Linked DNA regions of Lepisosteus oculatus. The protein of the gene in region 2 interacts with the protein of the main gene of each other region in a biochemical or structural test. Links are inferred from orthologs where the notes say so. Each region holds a gene or a part of one and is shown on either strand. Other genes may lie near its edges.

Region 1 (7,124 bases), on a different chromosome or scaffold from region 2:
CATGTTTCTAACAGTACATTAACCCGTCCTTCGGATGAGACGTAAAACCGAGGTCCTGACTCTCTGTGGTCATTAAAAATCCCAGGGCGTTTCTCGAAAAGAGTAGGGGTGTAACCCCGGCGTCCTGGCCAAAATTTCCCATTGGCCCTTACCAATCATGGCCTCCTAATAACCCCCCTCTATGAATTGGCTACATTACTCTGCTCTCCTCCCCCACTGATAGCTGATGTGTGGTGAGCGTTCTGACGCACTATGGCTGCCGTCGCATCATCCAGGTGGATGCTGCACATTGGTGGTGGTGGAGGGGATCCCCATTACCTGTAAAGCGCTTTGAGTGGAGTGTCCAGAAAAGCGCTATATAAGTGTAAGCAATTATTAATTATTATTATGTGCAGAATTATTCTATCCATCAGACAAATTATTGTACAGCTACTGGAAACAGAAATGCACTTATAATAGAAACTAAGGACCAAGGTGGCCCTCTGGAAGCTTGCGTTTGGCTATCTTGATCTAACCCTGCCTTGAAAAAAGTTTTCTTAAGGTGTGTCACTCTCTCCCTTAACCTGCGTCTCATCTCTCCGAAAATACATTTACACCTTGTAAAATGTGACCATTCTGTGTGTGCAGCCTAAGCAAATTTGACATTTCCTACATTTCCTGTGAAGTGCAAAAGTTAAGAATAAAGGGGTTTACTGCAATTCTCAAAGCTAAAGGCAAAGAAATGTGGCCAAAGTGTCTCAATACACTTGCTTTTCATTTTAAAAAAGTTTTTCCTCAATCTGAACATAAAAGACCAAACCCTGATCTTGCCTTCACATGCAGTACTGCAGTAAAAAAAAGGGCTCTACTATTCACGTTATGAGTTTGTGGGAACTGAAAGAAGTCCTCTAAAGACTGCCCCTTGAAAAGAACACTTCTCCACCTGAACATGAGAATCTCATAGAAGGAATTGCTATTTTTAGACGATTAGAAAGTAGAAAGCAGTAGTCCTGGCTTGTTAATGCAGACTCTCTAATTGACCTTGACAAATCTTAAGTGCAGACCTCTCACTGGTACTACTGTCCGAACAACTTAAGAAACTCAAAGATAAAACACTTAGATCAATTCGAATAACGCCTACTAATTATATGTAGCAGAGCATCTTTGCTTGATGACCTCCACCTACCCACCTGCTAGCATCTCTGTAATACATGCACTTAGCCATCAATACTTTCGAACATAAACCAAACTATCTTTAACACGCGATACAAAGCTAGACAGATCTAGCTTTGTGAACTTCTGTCTTCCATTTCACCTGAGCACAGCGCTCCTTGGAATGAAACAATTCTGCAACTCGGGGAACAGAACACCCATCAGTCTGTGGATTTTACCCAGACAGACCAAAATTTCTAGCTGGATGACTGAACCACCAAAAAAGCAAGAATGTGTGAAGACAGTTGTAACAGTTTTATTCATTCAAGTATTCACTCAGGAATGGATGGTTTATCTGTTCTGCAAAGTGCTTTTAATACTGTTAAAGGCTAGAATAACCTTTTTTGCACTACTTTATACAATATCCATACCACTTTAACTCTTCATGATGAGCACAAGAAAGACTTTTATAAGGGCTGCGTTTTTTACATGATAGGCGCATAGCTCAAAGCACCGCAGTGTTTACTATTACTTTAACGACATTTTGATTAGGTTTATTTGCTTAGGGGACTACATTGATTTTCAGAACGAAATAAAAACATTTCCTTTGCTCTTGTGCAGTGCACTTCTATATTACGTATCCATGCAGTGTTTCCGAAAACAGATTTCTCCAAGGGGGAGGGGGGCAACATCTTGTTTCGACAGTCATTCATCGCTGAAATGTATGAGTAAAATTGCTTTTATGTAACACTGGGCTGCACGTATCAGTGTAAGTGGAATCAAACGCATGCGAATTTAAGGTGCACCTTCTCACCTGCCGCTAATAAATCAATTACATAAGACTATTTAAATTGGATGCACCATTTCACGCACGCATTCCAAGTATCATCGGGCTCACGGATCCAATTAAAAGGGGATTTATTTCTGTAGCACTTCCAAGGTTGCAAAACAATCGAATCTTTTACCGAAGCACGTCAGTGGCAAAATATGCTCACATTAACTCTACGAACACCGAACAACCTTAACACTCCCAGGCACACCCACAATGAATGCAGATCGCAACACTTCCTGTACCATTTCTGAGTTTCTTGCTGTCCGCGGAGAATAAAATCGTCTCATCTGTCCTTCTTCCTACTGCGTGTTGTTTTTTTTGCAGGAGAGGTAGCATGTTATCTTGTTCTTTTTTTTAATGAATGATTTCGGCCAGGCCTAAAGCAAATATACCTGCCACGGGAATAGCCACTTTTAACTCGAAATCCCAAACACACACGTCAAAGACGCCCTGTATTCGTCATTTAAAGACAGTTCTGCTCTCACGGTTGGCGTTACCGTGTTTAGGGGAAATCTGGACACACGCCCTCGTTAAAAATACTTATTCGGCAATATACGTTTCAGCGTCAGGCCCGAGGAAACGCTACTTCCTGAACAAAACACAAGAGCCCGCAGCGGAGCACACACGGGCATGCACGCGTGGAGAGTCTGAAGGAAATACCCTGCAAAACACGAATTAAATAGGTTTTGCTCAGTCCTCTTCCCTGCATTGCTACGCCAATCGGGCCTGCAACCTTCCCCAATACCGATCCCCCCCTCCAGTTCTGATCAACATTCACAGCATGATGAGTGACTGTGCATCGACAGACCTCCCGTCCTCTCTTGTTCGACAAGCAGAAAACCCGCAGTAACGCAACTCTTTCCCCTCTCGCTCGACTTCGTCCCTCTTCCCGCTTAAGTCAAATTACGCGTTTCCCCCCCGACCTGCTCGCGTCTGCGCGCCCACCCCGCGAGTCGGAATAATCGCATTTTTTTGTCTCTAAAATAGCCCAGATTCTCACACAAACCTGTGGAGGCCGCCATCTTGTCCAGCCGAATCCAGAACCACACAAATCCGTGACATCACAGTCACCTGGCGCGCGCGTCACCACTGCACCGAGCCGCTGCCGCCGCCGCTCACGTGACCTCTCGGCGCTTGTTGGTTTGGGTGTGTGGTGGGGGGGTCATTCATCGAGGGAGTATGAATGTGCCCAGCGACTGAAAGATTTACTTGTTTTACAAATACATCTACATCAAAAACGGAAACCTACTCGAATCATGACTGGAATCCTTTATTACTACCGTAGCTTTTAGTTCACTTTTTTAATTTCCGTTCTCTTCTTCCATGTTATATTAAATTGCCCCCATTTTTACATGAATAAAGTATTTTGAATCGAAGTTATTGCGTTTATAAGATGTAAATGAATCAAACGGTAAATCAATCAAACGGAAAACACTTCTTGTTACCATGTAACCCCCTCCCTAGTTTTTTGAGTTGTTGCAAAAGAAAACAGTATTGTGCTCACTGAGCAGTTTAAAGGCACTTCTGTTGTTTCATATGTGATTTCATTATCTGCTTTTCATGTGTTACAGCGTGACAAAAGGAGTTGTGGGACAAATGCATAGGGGCTATATACCTTATGCATATAATGGATTCTTTGTGTGTGTGGGGGGGGGGGGGTTTCTCTTTGGGTCTGCTTTTCTCCTTTCATCAAGGTCTCCAAGCCTTTCCAGTGCAAGGCTGGCTGGTGACAATCAACAATGTTTCAATGACACGCTGTCGCCTAGATGTTCATCAATCACCACACAGAGGTGACACATTAGGGTTGCTGGAGAGTCTGGACCAAAGGTGGTGCAGGGGGACAGATGAAGCACAAAGGACAAAGGGACAAGGGAAGGGAAGGGACAGTGTACCTTGACACCTGGTGAACTCCATAATTAACCCCCACTCACTAGGTCGAACTACCAGACACACACACACACACACACACACACACACACACACACACACACACACACACACTACAAGCTTTGGTTGAAGGGTAATGGCATAGTTGTAATATAACTGTCTGTGCTGGTCTGGGAGCACGTGGGTGGTTTTGGGGAGATACATCAAACCTGTTGTGGAGAGAAGGATCCAAACTTTTTTTCCCCATGTGTTTTGGTTGAAGTTTCTGAAATGTTTATTTCTTAAAAAGACTTATTGGTTTTAAGCCGACGGCCATGAAGGTGTAACATAAACACATTCGGGAATATCAAAAACTTGATTTGAAGGGTTCCATCATTTAAGTGTCAAAGTATTATTTTAACATGAACATTTTGTGGAATGTCTACCTCTGGTGCTGGGCTTTCTCATGATCTTTTCCTTTTTTCTTTTACAAGGCTCATCCTTTCCTCTCCTATAAAAACAGGGTTGAGGGGGAACTGCAGTCTCTTCCTGTTTTGCCACATGTCCGTCAACAGATGCTCTACTCCTTTCTCAGGCCTTTCACATTTAAAGAACTTTATTGGCATGACCAATCCATTACAATTAACACAACATTTACAGATATTACAGACTTTAATAAGCATATTATTGACATTGCATACTGTATATCATATAAAACATTGTTATGAGACAAGCTCACTATCAGTTCCTCAGGCTTTGACAGGACACAACATACTTGGGTTGCAGCTCTACCGAGTTTCCACACCCAGTAGGATCAGAAGAGTGTTTATCTAATCCCAGAGTATTTCTCCCAGTGCAGCAGAAAGTGTACCTCTGTCTTGGGTTTTCCCTGCTGCCAGCAGGAGCTCAGCCTGTCCTTTCTGGGCAGCCAGGTCTGCCTGTGTCCAGTTTCTGTGTCAAGGCTACAGTCACTGACCCTGTCCTCTCTGCACAGTCAGGTCTGTCATTGCCTCCCAGTTTCTACAGCCAGGCTGTGGTCACTGAGCCGATCATTTCTGGACAGCCAGGTCTGCCTGTGTCCAGTTTCTACATCACGGCTACAGTCGTTGAGCCTGTCCTCTCTGGGAAGCCAGGTCTGCCTGTGTCCAGTTTCAATTGTCCTCGGTCTGGTCATAACACATAGCACCTTTCTTTTCTTGTTGTCTGACCAGTCCAAAACAATCATTGTCTTTGAAACTGACTCAAGCCTTCCAGCCTGTGAAAACTTTCTAGCCCAAACCTTGTTACAAAGAACTATTGCCTAACTTTTTTTTAAAGGAAGGGGGTAAATGAGTACAGAGGATGAGGTTTAAATGTGACTTTAATACTTTTTTTTTACGTAGAAAGGAATATTGGTAAATGTTTACACTCTTTTTTAACATTGCTTGTCTTGTAATGTAGAATTTGTTTCATTTGTAAAATGTGGTTAATTAAATTAGGGGTATTTCATACTATGTCTTTATAAAGAGCCCATTTCAGGGTTACAGTGTTTTAAGAGAAAAAGCAGACTCTATGAATTAGGGCAAATAATATTACGTTTTGCAGATTCACTATACTGTAAGACAGAACTGTCTGAACCGACTTAAAATTCGGCTTTTCATTTATACAAAGTTAGCAATACAGTAGCTATTTTGCCCTAAATTTAACCAGCAGGGATTACCAGTATTCCCCATGAAGTCTGTGTAAAGCGGCTCTCCGATATTGAAACACTTCCAGCTTGTAGACTTTCCGACTTTAATCAAGCCCTCAAGTTCAAATATGAATATAGCACCACCCTTAACGAATAAGTTAAAAACCTTCTGATGAAGTTGAAACAAGGACATTTTGAATTGGGGGTTGAAATATACGCCTGTCCAGAACCCACAATTTTAGATCATGATAACACGTCTGATCGTTCGTCGTTGCAATGGGTCACAAGGCAAGATTGTCCCTTTATCGCCCCTGCTGTTTGATATTGCTCTACAGTCTCTGGCAATTAGCATAAGAAATAATCCTAGTATATAATGTATTAACACAGCAGCCTGTATGTCGCTGTGTCCTGACAATGTGCTCCTGTATCTTTCTGATTTTATATCTTATCTATGTCATCTGAATTGTAAGACCTGAGATGACTTCTGCAAAGCAAATGGGCTCTGGTAACCAAGTGCTACGGTTTAAATCCTCTCAAAAGTTTAAATAAGTTTAAGTATGCAACTTTGTATATAAATGGTTGTACGTTTTTAATGATAAAATGGGGGATTAAAAACTGCATTAGACGCATAGTAAAATCTAAGAGCCGCGTAGGGGAATTAGCTCAAATGGTAGAGCGCTCGCTTAGCATGCGAGAGGTAGCGGGATCGATGCCCGCATTCTCCAAGCTTTTGCTTATGGATAGAAATGTGCTCAGGGCACATGGAGTAAAAGGAAGGCAGTTCCCCGAGTGTTTGAATTAGTAACCATTTTCTTGTTTTTCGGCAAGGGCAAAACGAAATGTCCCCGAATGCGCAGCTCGGGAAAGACTCCTTCACTCACAAACGTGCAGTCGGGATGTTTGTGTGCTGCGCTTTCGTTTGTGTTTGAAGTGTGGAGCTCTCTAGGAACTCATCAAGATGTCGGAGAGAGGGATAGAGGAACGAAAGCCTGTGTTATAACCCTCCTGTATGTGTGTTTTTTAAATTAAAACTGTATTCCCGATTGAGAAGACGACATAAAACCTGTTACTGGAACGTACTAATTTAAGGGATTCAGTCATCACAACTTCATGTTTGGTGCCTGGGATTGGGAGAGGCTTCTTTTGCCTTAACGGCGTTTTATTGACAATCATTTGCTAGGGTAATCATATTCCTGTTAATGTAATGTAAACAAAAAACACGTTCCGGAGAAGGCGAACCGTACCAGTAAAAAAATCCTTGTCTAGAAAGAATTTCACATAAATTGGATCAATGTCCGGTATTAGACAGGGCTGTATAGTCAGACTGCTGGATAAGTAATAGGTGCTTAAGGAAATACCTTGACTAAACACATTCTCCTTGTACGTAATTTATTAAAGACGTGGTTGTGGCGGTAGTCTGCCCTCTCAATGGAGCCTTGCAGACCGGAAGCGCGCAATTACTTCCTGTGCGGGGACGGCGTGTGTTCTGCCCCTTCGATAGCTCAGTTGGTAGAGCGGAGGACTGTAGCGGTGATTCCCGGCCATCCTTAGGTCGCTGGTTCGAATCCGGCTCGAAGGAGGTGGATTTTTTTTACCTTCAATTCGAGCTGCATTTTATGTACATTA
Region 2 (7,948 bases):
TACTCTTCTCAGAGGTGAAAGAAGGGTGTTCTAGCCACCTGTACTGTCTGCTGCAGCTGCTGGTGCAGAATGGCCATACAGTACATCACCCAGGTGGGTACAGGTCTTTAGTCATAATGAATTGGTACCCCTGTTATAAATCAAATGCTTTGGGATTCAGGTGCACTGAATTAATAAATGTTTTAAAGCATGCAAACACTAAAGGAAAAACATAGAACCTCCAGGTTTACTGCTATGAGATTGGAAGAAAAATAAGTAGAGTGTTCAAGTGTACTGCAGGATGCCATTGGGGTCAACACCAGGGAGTTTTGTTCAAAGATGTCATGCTGGCTTGTGAAGAAGGATGCTGCTCTGTTACCCTTCTCTGCATCCTTCAGGTTTTCCCTGACGAACTGCAGGGCTTGATTCACCTCATCCTCGCTGCAAACATCCACCTGCACAACTTTCATCCGCTCCGAGTTCATGCTCTCCAGATCACAAGCTCCAGTGCCGCTCTTGTCCTGTCAACAGTGCCATAAAATATACCCTCCTGTCAGCTGGAAGAAACAAATCTCAAGTTTTCAGTTCTTCTGCACTGTCCTCTCCCATCTCTCAAGGAAAAGACTTCTAACAAAATTTGCATTATGTACAAACAATCTGCTTTACTTTTCTAAGATTTCTAAGTGTATTTAAGAGCTACTGATCTTTAATAAGAACTGGAGAATACAAAATGCCTATAAATAAACTTTTAAACTAAGTTCTGAATTTAAACAAAAATAATATTTTTTGAAACATTTTATCAGCTCACAGATCTTTGTTTGCATTGACAGAAAGTGGGTTGTGAAGTTTAGATTTTAGATTCCTAACTAAAACCAGTTGACTTTTCGCTGACGGAAAAGAGCTAGAAGCCGTACCTTAAGAAGGCATCCAGCAAAGACTGTGAATCCCAGAGCATGTAAATGCTTTGCCAAAGCAAATCCAAATCCACTGTCACAGCCTGTGATGAGCACAGCTTTTCCCTCAGTCTGTCATGGGGAAAAACACGTCATATAGGTTGTTCTCGATTTACACAGGAGATACACTCCTGAAAAACATTGCATAATTAACAAATGTGTAAATTAAAAATGAATTCACTCTAGTAGTGCATGTACTGTAAATGGGGGGAGGGGGGTATGTTTAGCTCCCATCCAACCAGAGAATCGATTGCTAGATAAAAACCAATCATGCAGTTTTATTCATGTAAGATGTTAATACTTATTTGTATAGACATTAAGCTTTTCTAAGAGTTGGCTGTCAATTTTATGTCAACAGTGAGGGGCAGTGAGTCTTGCCCAGCTGTCTTCAGTCCTCCTACTCTCAGTGAGCCTTTTAAAAATGGACGTGTATTTTGAAGTCTTGTAAATAACATTGCGAATATTTTCAGCCAATTAGTAATCGTAACCCATTTTATTTAACATCAAGGTTGACAATTTGGGAGGTTTTTTTAAAGACTTAAAAATAACAAGCTTGTGTTTGCATTCAGCTTTAAGATTGTTTTAATAATAATAATGTTGCTTTATTAGCCCTATACAATTTCTTGCATTAGGAATTTGTCTTTTCGCATACCCCAGCTTTTCTCCATGAGACACAGACACACAGACAGGAAGAGAAGCTTGGGGTCAGAGCGCAGGGTCAGCCAATGTATGGCGCCCCTGGAGCAGTTGGGGTTAAGGGCCTTGCTCAGGGGCCAAAGGGAGTAGGATTCCACTGCGGGCCGTGGGATTTGAACCGGCAACCTTCCAGTCACAGGCGCAGATCCTCAGCCACAGAGCCACCGCTCTGCATTTTATGCATTGTAGTAGATAGATACTTTATTGATCCCGTGAGGGAAATTGCAGTGCAACAGCAGCTTAACACAGACAACACAGTGTAACGAATGATACAATAATAATAATAATACTACAATACAATCAATACAGTGAGGAGTGCTCTAAAAGAGTTACTCAGTCCAGGTCACACAAAGAACAAACTAGAACAGAACAGTACACAGAAAAATCATATTGCACATAAGAATATAAATATAGATGTAAATATAGATATAAATATAAATGTATTGCACGGGTCCCTGGCATATATTGCACAAAAAATGGTTGTAAATGGGAAAAGAAAGAGAACAGATGTAGCAGTAGATGTGTAGATGCGTTCAGTCCAGAAACAGGTCACTGTCAATGTTGCCTCTGCCCAGACGCAAGGTGGATGAGTTGTACAGTCTTATGGCAGAAGGCAAGAATGACCTCCTGTAGCGCTCTCTGTCACACTGTGGATGAATCATTTTATTGCTGAACGTGCTCTTGTAGATTGTTATACAACATAAACATTAGGTGCAGACTAAGACATTTTCAATATGTATTTAGTAAGCTTGAGATGACAGGAAATGATGAGGGACAGCTTACAACTTGGTACACGCCGAGTGTACAGACTCAAACACTCCATCAAATCACCTGTTGCAGACTGGGACCAAGCATGTTAAAATGAGAACCAATTCATAGCCTACAGTACATTAAGAAATGTATTCAATATATTAATAAGGCCAAACTGGGCAAAGTAAAGGGTGTGTCATTTAAGACCTGCCTGTACCCATTTCTCTTTAATAGTGTTTTTGTGGAAACCAGTTATCAAAAACAATTTCTGAACGTTTTCACATTACACCAGCACTAGCATGTTGGCACATGCTTAAAAAAAACATTTCAGAATGTTTTATATAAGAAATGCATAGCCCAAAGAGAAGGCAAATCCCACATGGACATAAAAACCCATAGCAAACGTACAGGTAAAGGGCATGATTAACTGTGTGGTGTTTTGTATACTATTTTCTATTATCCATCTCACTGCTCTGCAAAACTATTAAAAAAATGTTTCACATAATACGAAAGTCATAAGTTGCTTACAACAGCAGTTTGTAATGTGGTTCTAATTGGAATATAAGCAATTAAAGCCAGTTTTAAATCCAATACCTTTTTAAAACCCTTCTCAACAACAGTATTTTAAGCAGTCTTGAACAATACTTTTTATTGAGGAACTGGTAGCTTGACACAATTTGACAATTTTTCTCATCTCATTAAGAGTTAGTGGGGTGGGTCACCAAAATGAGAATTTAATTATTTTATTGATAAAATAATAATAAATAAAAATATTTAATTGATCACCAGATCCATGACAGGCTGCAATATGCCAACCTCCCACTGAGAATCAAATAGAGGAAGAAAATGTATTAATTTTAAATTTGTGTAAATTCACATGAAACCTGAAGATGCAGTGTATTGTACTGATAATTTCACGTATAGGCGGAGAACTTGATTAGCTTTTAATATGAAATACCTTAGCACATACAAATAATACGCGTAAAACAGATGTGTACGAACAGCACTAGAATAGTTGATAATCCGTGTACGAAACGCAGACATTACATGTCCTGGTAAAAATACAAATATTGACATATGTATTCCCTCTTATACAGTATGTCAGTGCCTTTTCAACTTAATTTCAACACAACCTTCCCAGGGGCACGAAACCAAAAAAGCCAGCGCTTACAGATTTACTTTGCGAGTTATTTGTTACCTTTCAGTTGTTGTTTTTTTTTTAAGCAAAGCCGATTCTGTTATTCACCTTTGCTCTTTCGTTGTTGTGCAGAAGCAGGTCGCTAAGCAATAAGAATTCGCTCAATTACTTTATAACAAATAATCCGTGTACGAAACGCAGACATTACAAGTCCTGGAAAAAATACGAATATTGACATATGTATTCCCTCTTATACAGTACGTCAGTTACTTTATCCTGGCCAGTTCAGTAGAATCAATGAAAACGCTCAACAAAATCATTAAAAAAAGTTTAAAGATACAAAGTTGACCTTTTCCAGGTCAAGTTGCATTAACATTATTTATAAAAATAGACACCGTCAACAACCCAGTATATACTACTACATACTAATGTATACATGACTGGTGCCAAATTCACTCTTCGATGTACAATACAGTGCTGTGGCGTTGACGCCACACGAAACAATAAAACTTCAGTATTACTTACTTTCACAGAGCCCCTGGGGATGGAAGGCATTGCCACAAAAAATACGAAAATGAAATACACAAGGACTATGCAGTGGGTTACGCTGGCTTCTGCAAACCCACAGCATTTAACAATGAAATTCAATGCTTCTGGGAGCCCGAACCCTAAAATTAATGTCAAACACAAAGAAAAAAGTAGAAGGAACGCCATTTTAATAAGAGGGAAAGGAGGCATGTTTTCTGCTGCTCGTCAGACTTCGCTTGTGTTGATCTGGACCGGAACAGTGCGATTTAAAAGTAGAGAACAGCGCCTACCACACCAGAATTCCACTTCCTGCCCAGTTAAACGCCAATCGCTCAGCTTCATTTAGTTAATGTTTTGATAAAATGTAACTGAATTCTCACATACAGTAACATGCACTTAATTCAGCACTAGGAAAGCAAGCTAGGGCTGCCACGTGCTGTGCGTCCTTTATTTCTGTTCAGTCTAATTAATTACAGAGGGGACGGAATCAACTCTACTCGTGAGTGGCCAGATCATGTTTCCAGTAAAACGTCAATCATTAACCAGCTTTTATTTATTGAATTAAAGTCCTCACGTTTTTCCAACTGCGATTTCTCCAGCACACAATTTACAGCAACTACATTACGAAAAACCCACACTGCCACATCCAGTACCTCTGATAACATTATTTTGGATGAAAACCCCCTTTTAGTTCTGCTATTACTGTAGGCAGCTGTTAGAATTTAATGGCAGAGTTTTGCAAAACAAAGGTTCATAATCAAGGTGGAACAAACAGTATTGCTGATAAAGCTGTGTACAACTTCAATTCCTGTACCGCCTATTTCACAGGTAACTAAACCCACTCACCCTGGTTTCATATATTATTGACTCCGCCCAGGTTTTTTACTTGCTTGATCCCGCCTTCTGATTTTTAATTGGAGAAGGGAAGTAAATATCTGCATTTTTTTCATACGCTGCTTAGCTAAGGCAGACAAATTCTTATTTGTTGAGCTATCCTAAATCTTGTTTCTGTTTCCGGGTTTTGGGTATGTGTATAGGTTTTGAGCGTAAAACTCGTGTGGCGCATTATGCGGTATTGACATCTCAAGTCTCTCGGAAGTCAGCGTCTCCTCCATGCCTCCCCTCAAGTGATCTATAATCTGCCGGAAATCGCCCCCCGCTCCCACATTTGTCTGTTGGCGACACCCCCGGTCCGAAAGAAATCGTCAGCGAATTATTTAATTATATAATATGACCCTGAGTCATCTGAGAATCCGCTTAAATCTGCTAAACCAGTGGCATCTCTGTACAACGAAAGTTTGCAAAGAAAGCGAGATTATTCAACGGGACTGGTGAGTTATACTGTAGCATTTATAGAATAATGCATACATATTATAGTATCTATCAGCGATTTATTTAATTATATAGCTGTGATTTTGTTTTCGGAGGGGGACCCGCCCCCTCTGGTCCGAAAGTTTTCGCGGGAGGGACGACCCCCCTCGCTGAAATACATTTTTCAAAGTTGGGATGTCTGAAAAGCTATTGTAAATAGTATTTCCGTGTAATGTTTGCAATGGTGATGGACAACTGAATAATATTTTCCTTGTTCAGTAAGAAACCTGTATCGGTTTTGGAACTGGTGTTTTGCATTTCTTTCTGGGACTAGTGTTGCAGTGCAAGCTTATTCTCTGCAAGGCGTGGTGTTTTTGAAGTGTGTTGTTATTTTGAATAGCGATCAGTGTTAAAAAAAATGTTGGTTCTAAAAATAATTGGTAATTCTGGAGTGTCACGATTTCTAAAAAGATTCATATTCTGCTTGGAGCAGGGAAAGGGATTAAAATAGTTTCTGAATTTAAGAGCTGTGTATAGCTAACAAGATTATTGGAGGGTACACAGAGCAGCTTTTACAAGCTCCTCTGTAAGGAATGTGTCTAAGCGATTTAACAAGTACTAAACATTGTGCATTAGGGAAATGGAGTAATTTTCTGTAATATTATTTGCATTTATCAATTTTTTAGTGCTGTAGCTCACAATACTGATAATGTGTTCTTCAATATTATAATTAATAATTGCTTACACTTCTGGACACTCCACTCAAAGTGCTTTACAGGCAATGGGGACTCCCCTCCAGCACCACCAATGTGCAGCCCCACCTGGATGATGCAACGGCAGCCATAGTGTGCCAGTATACTCGCCACACATCAGCTTTCAGTGGGGAGGAGAGCAGAGTGGAATTATTGTTACAACACCTATGTCCAAATATAGATTAATTACTATTTAAATGAACATTTGACAGCGTTACTGCTCTTTTATGTTCCTGTGAAGTTATTTAGAAATTAATTTGTAAAGCCTTATTTCTCATCGTCATACAACATCATTGAAACATATCGTACTCTGTTATGGTATCTGTGGATGGTATCTCACAGATCTGCTTTAATGATCCCCTGCACTCTTGTGATCCAGTGGTTAAAAAGTAGGTATTGAATGGTTGAAGTGCTGCAGTACATCTTCAACCTGAGCCTGAGACTAGAAAGGGTTCCAGGGCTCTGGAAGACACCTTGCCTGGTGCCAGTACCCCAAAAGGGGCACCCTAAAGTCTTAAATGACTACAGACCAGTGGCACTGACATCACACCTGATGAAAACTCTGGAAAGGCTTGTACTAGACCAACTCAGAACCCTGGTGAGTACAGCACTTGACCCCCTGCAGTTCGCCTACCGGTCACACATGGGAGTGGAGGATGCAATCATCTTTCTGCTACACAGACCTAACTCTCACCTGGAGAAGACGGGGAGCATTGTGAGAGTTATGTTCTTTTATTTCTCCAGTGCCTTTAACACCATCCATCCCCCATTACTGAGAGAGAAGCTAAGAGCTGCGCAGGTGGACACTCCCCTGGTGTCCTGGATTATAGACTATCTGACCTGCAGGCCACAGTATGTACGGCTGCAGAGCTGTGTGTCCGAACAGATTGTTAGCAGTACTGGGGCTCCACAGGGGACTGTCCTTGCTCCATTCCTGTTTACCTTTTACACCTCTGACTTCAGGTACAACTCTGAGGCGTGTCATCTGCAGACGTTTTTGGATGACTCTGCAATTGTGGGGTGTATTAGGGGAGGGAGGAGGAATAAATGAGCTTGGTTACCAACTTTGTGGAGTGGTGTCATCTTAACCATCTCCAGCTAAACACCAGCAAGACTAAAGAAATGGTCATGGACTTTCGAAGGAATAAGTCTCTGCTGAACCCTTTTTCCATCCAGGGCGAGGACATAGAGGTGGTGCAGTCCTACAAGCAATAAGCTGGAGTGGTCTGTTAACACTGACACCCTGTCCAAGAAAGGTCAGAGCCAACTATTTTCTTAGGAGGCTCAGGTCCTTTGGTGTATGTGGAACACTGTTACGCATTTTATTTGAATCAGTGGTGGCAGCGGCCATCTTCTACGATGTTGTGTGCTGGGGCAGCAGCATCACGACAAGAGATGTAAATAGGCTCAACAAACTCATCAAGTGGATCTGTGTTGGGGCTGAGCCTTGACCCCCTGGAGGTGGTGGCTGAAAGGAGAATGCTGACCAAGCTTACAACCATCATGAACAACGCCTCTCATCCACTTCATGGGACTGTAACTGGGCAGCTGAGCACTTTTAGCAACAGACTGCTCCAGCTACGGTGCTCAAGGGAACGTTTCCGCAGGTCTTTCCTCCTGGCGGCTGTCAGGGTGTATAACGCTGCCCTAGGCTAGGACTGTTAGCCCTTCATCTGCTCGTCTATGGACAGCATGTTGCACTATTGTACTTTTTGGGCACTCAATCTGTATATACCTATGCACGTTTTGCACAAATGTTATTGTTTTACAGTGACTATGAGCATATTTTGCACACATCTAACTATGTATTTATTTTTTATTACTGTACGTATTTTAATTTT

What was found.
Region 1: the proteins of hltf (region 2) and ube2v2 form a complex in vitro, tested with the Homo sapiens proteins (2 studies listed by BioGRID). The link is inferred for Lepisosteus oculatus from reciprocal best matches to the Homo sapiens genes HLTF and UBE2V2.

Annotation. Positions count from the first base shown.
Region 1 is NC_090701.1:47,139,619-47,146,742, reverse strand, and holds the start of ube2v2 (ubiquitin-conjugating enzyme E2 variant 2), read right to left. Parts: upstream 3,078-7,124; 5' UTR 2,986-3,077; coding exon 2,970-2,985; intron 1-2,969. UniProt on the Homo sapiens protein: Has no ubiquitin ligase activity on its own. The UBE2V2/UBE2N heterodimer catalyzes the synthesis of non-canonical poly-ubiquitin chains that are linked through 'Lys-63'. This type of poly-ubiquitination does not lead to protein degradation by the proteasome.
Region 2 is NC_090708.1:14,814,799-14,822,746, forward strand, and holds the start of hltf (helicase-like transcription factor), read left to right. Parts: upstream 1-4,945; 5' UTR 4,946-5,274; coding exon 5,275-5,375; intron 5,376-7,948. Other genes in the region: bdh1 (D-beta-hydroxybutyrate dehydrogenase, mitochondrial), read right to left, coding at 359-500, 894-1,004, 4,042-4,254. UniProt on the Homo sapiens protein: Has both helicase and E3 ubiquitin ligase activities. Possesses intrinsic ATP-dependent nucleosome-remodeling activity; This activity may be required for transcriptional activation or repression of specific target promoters.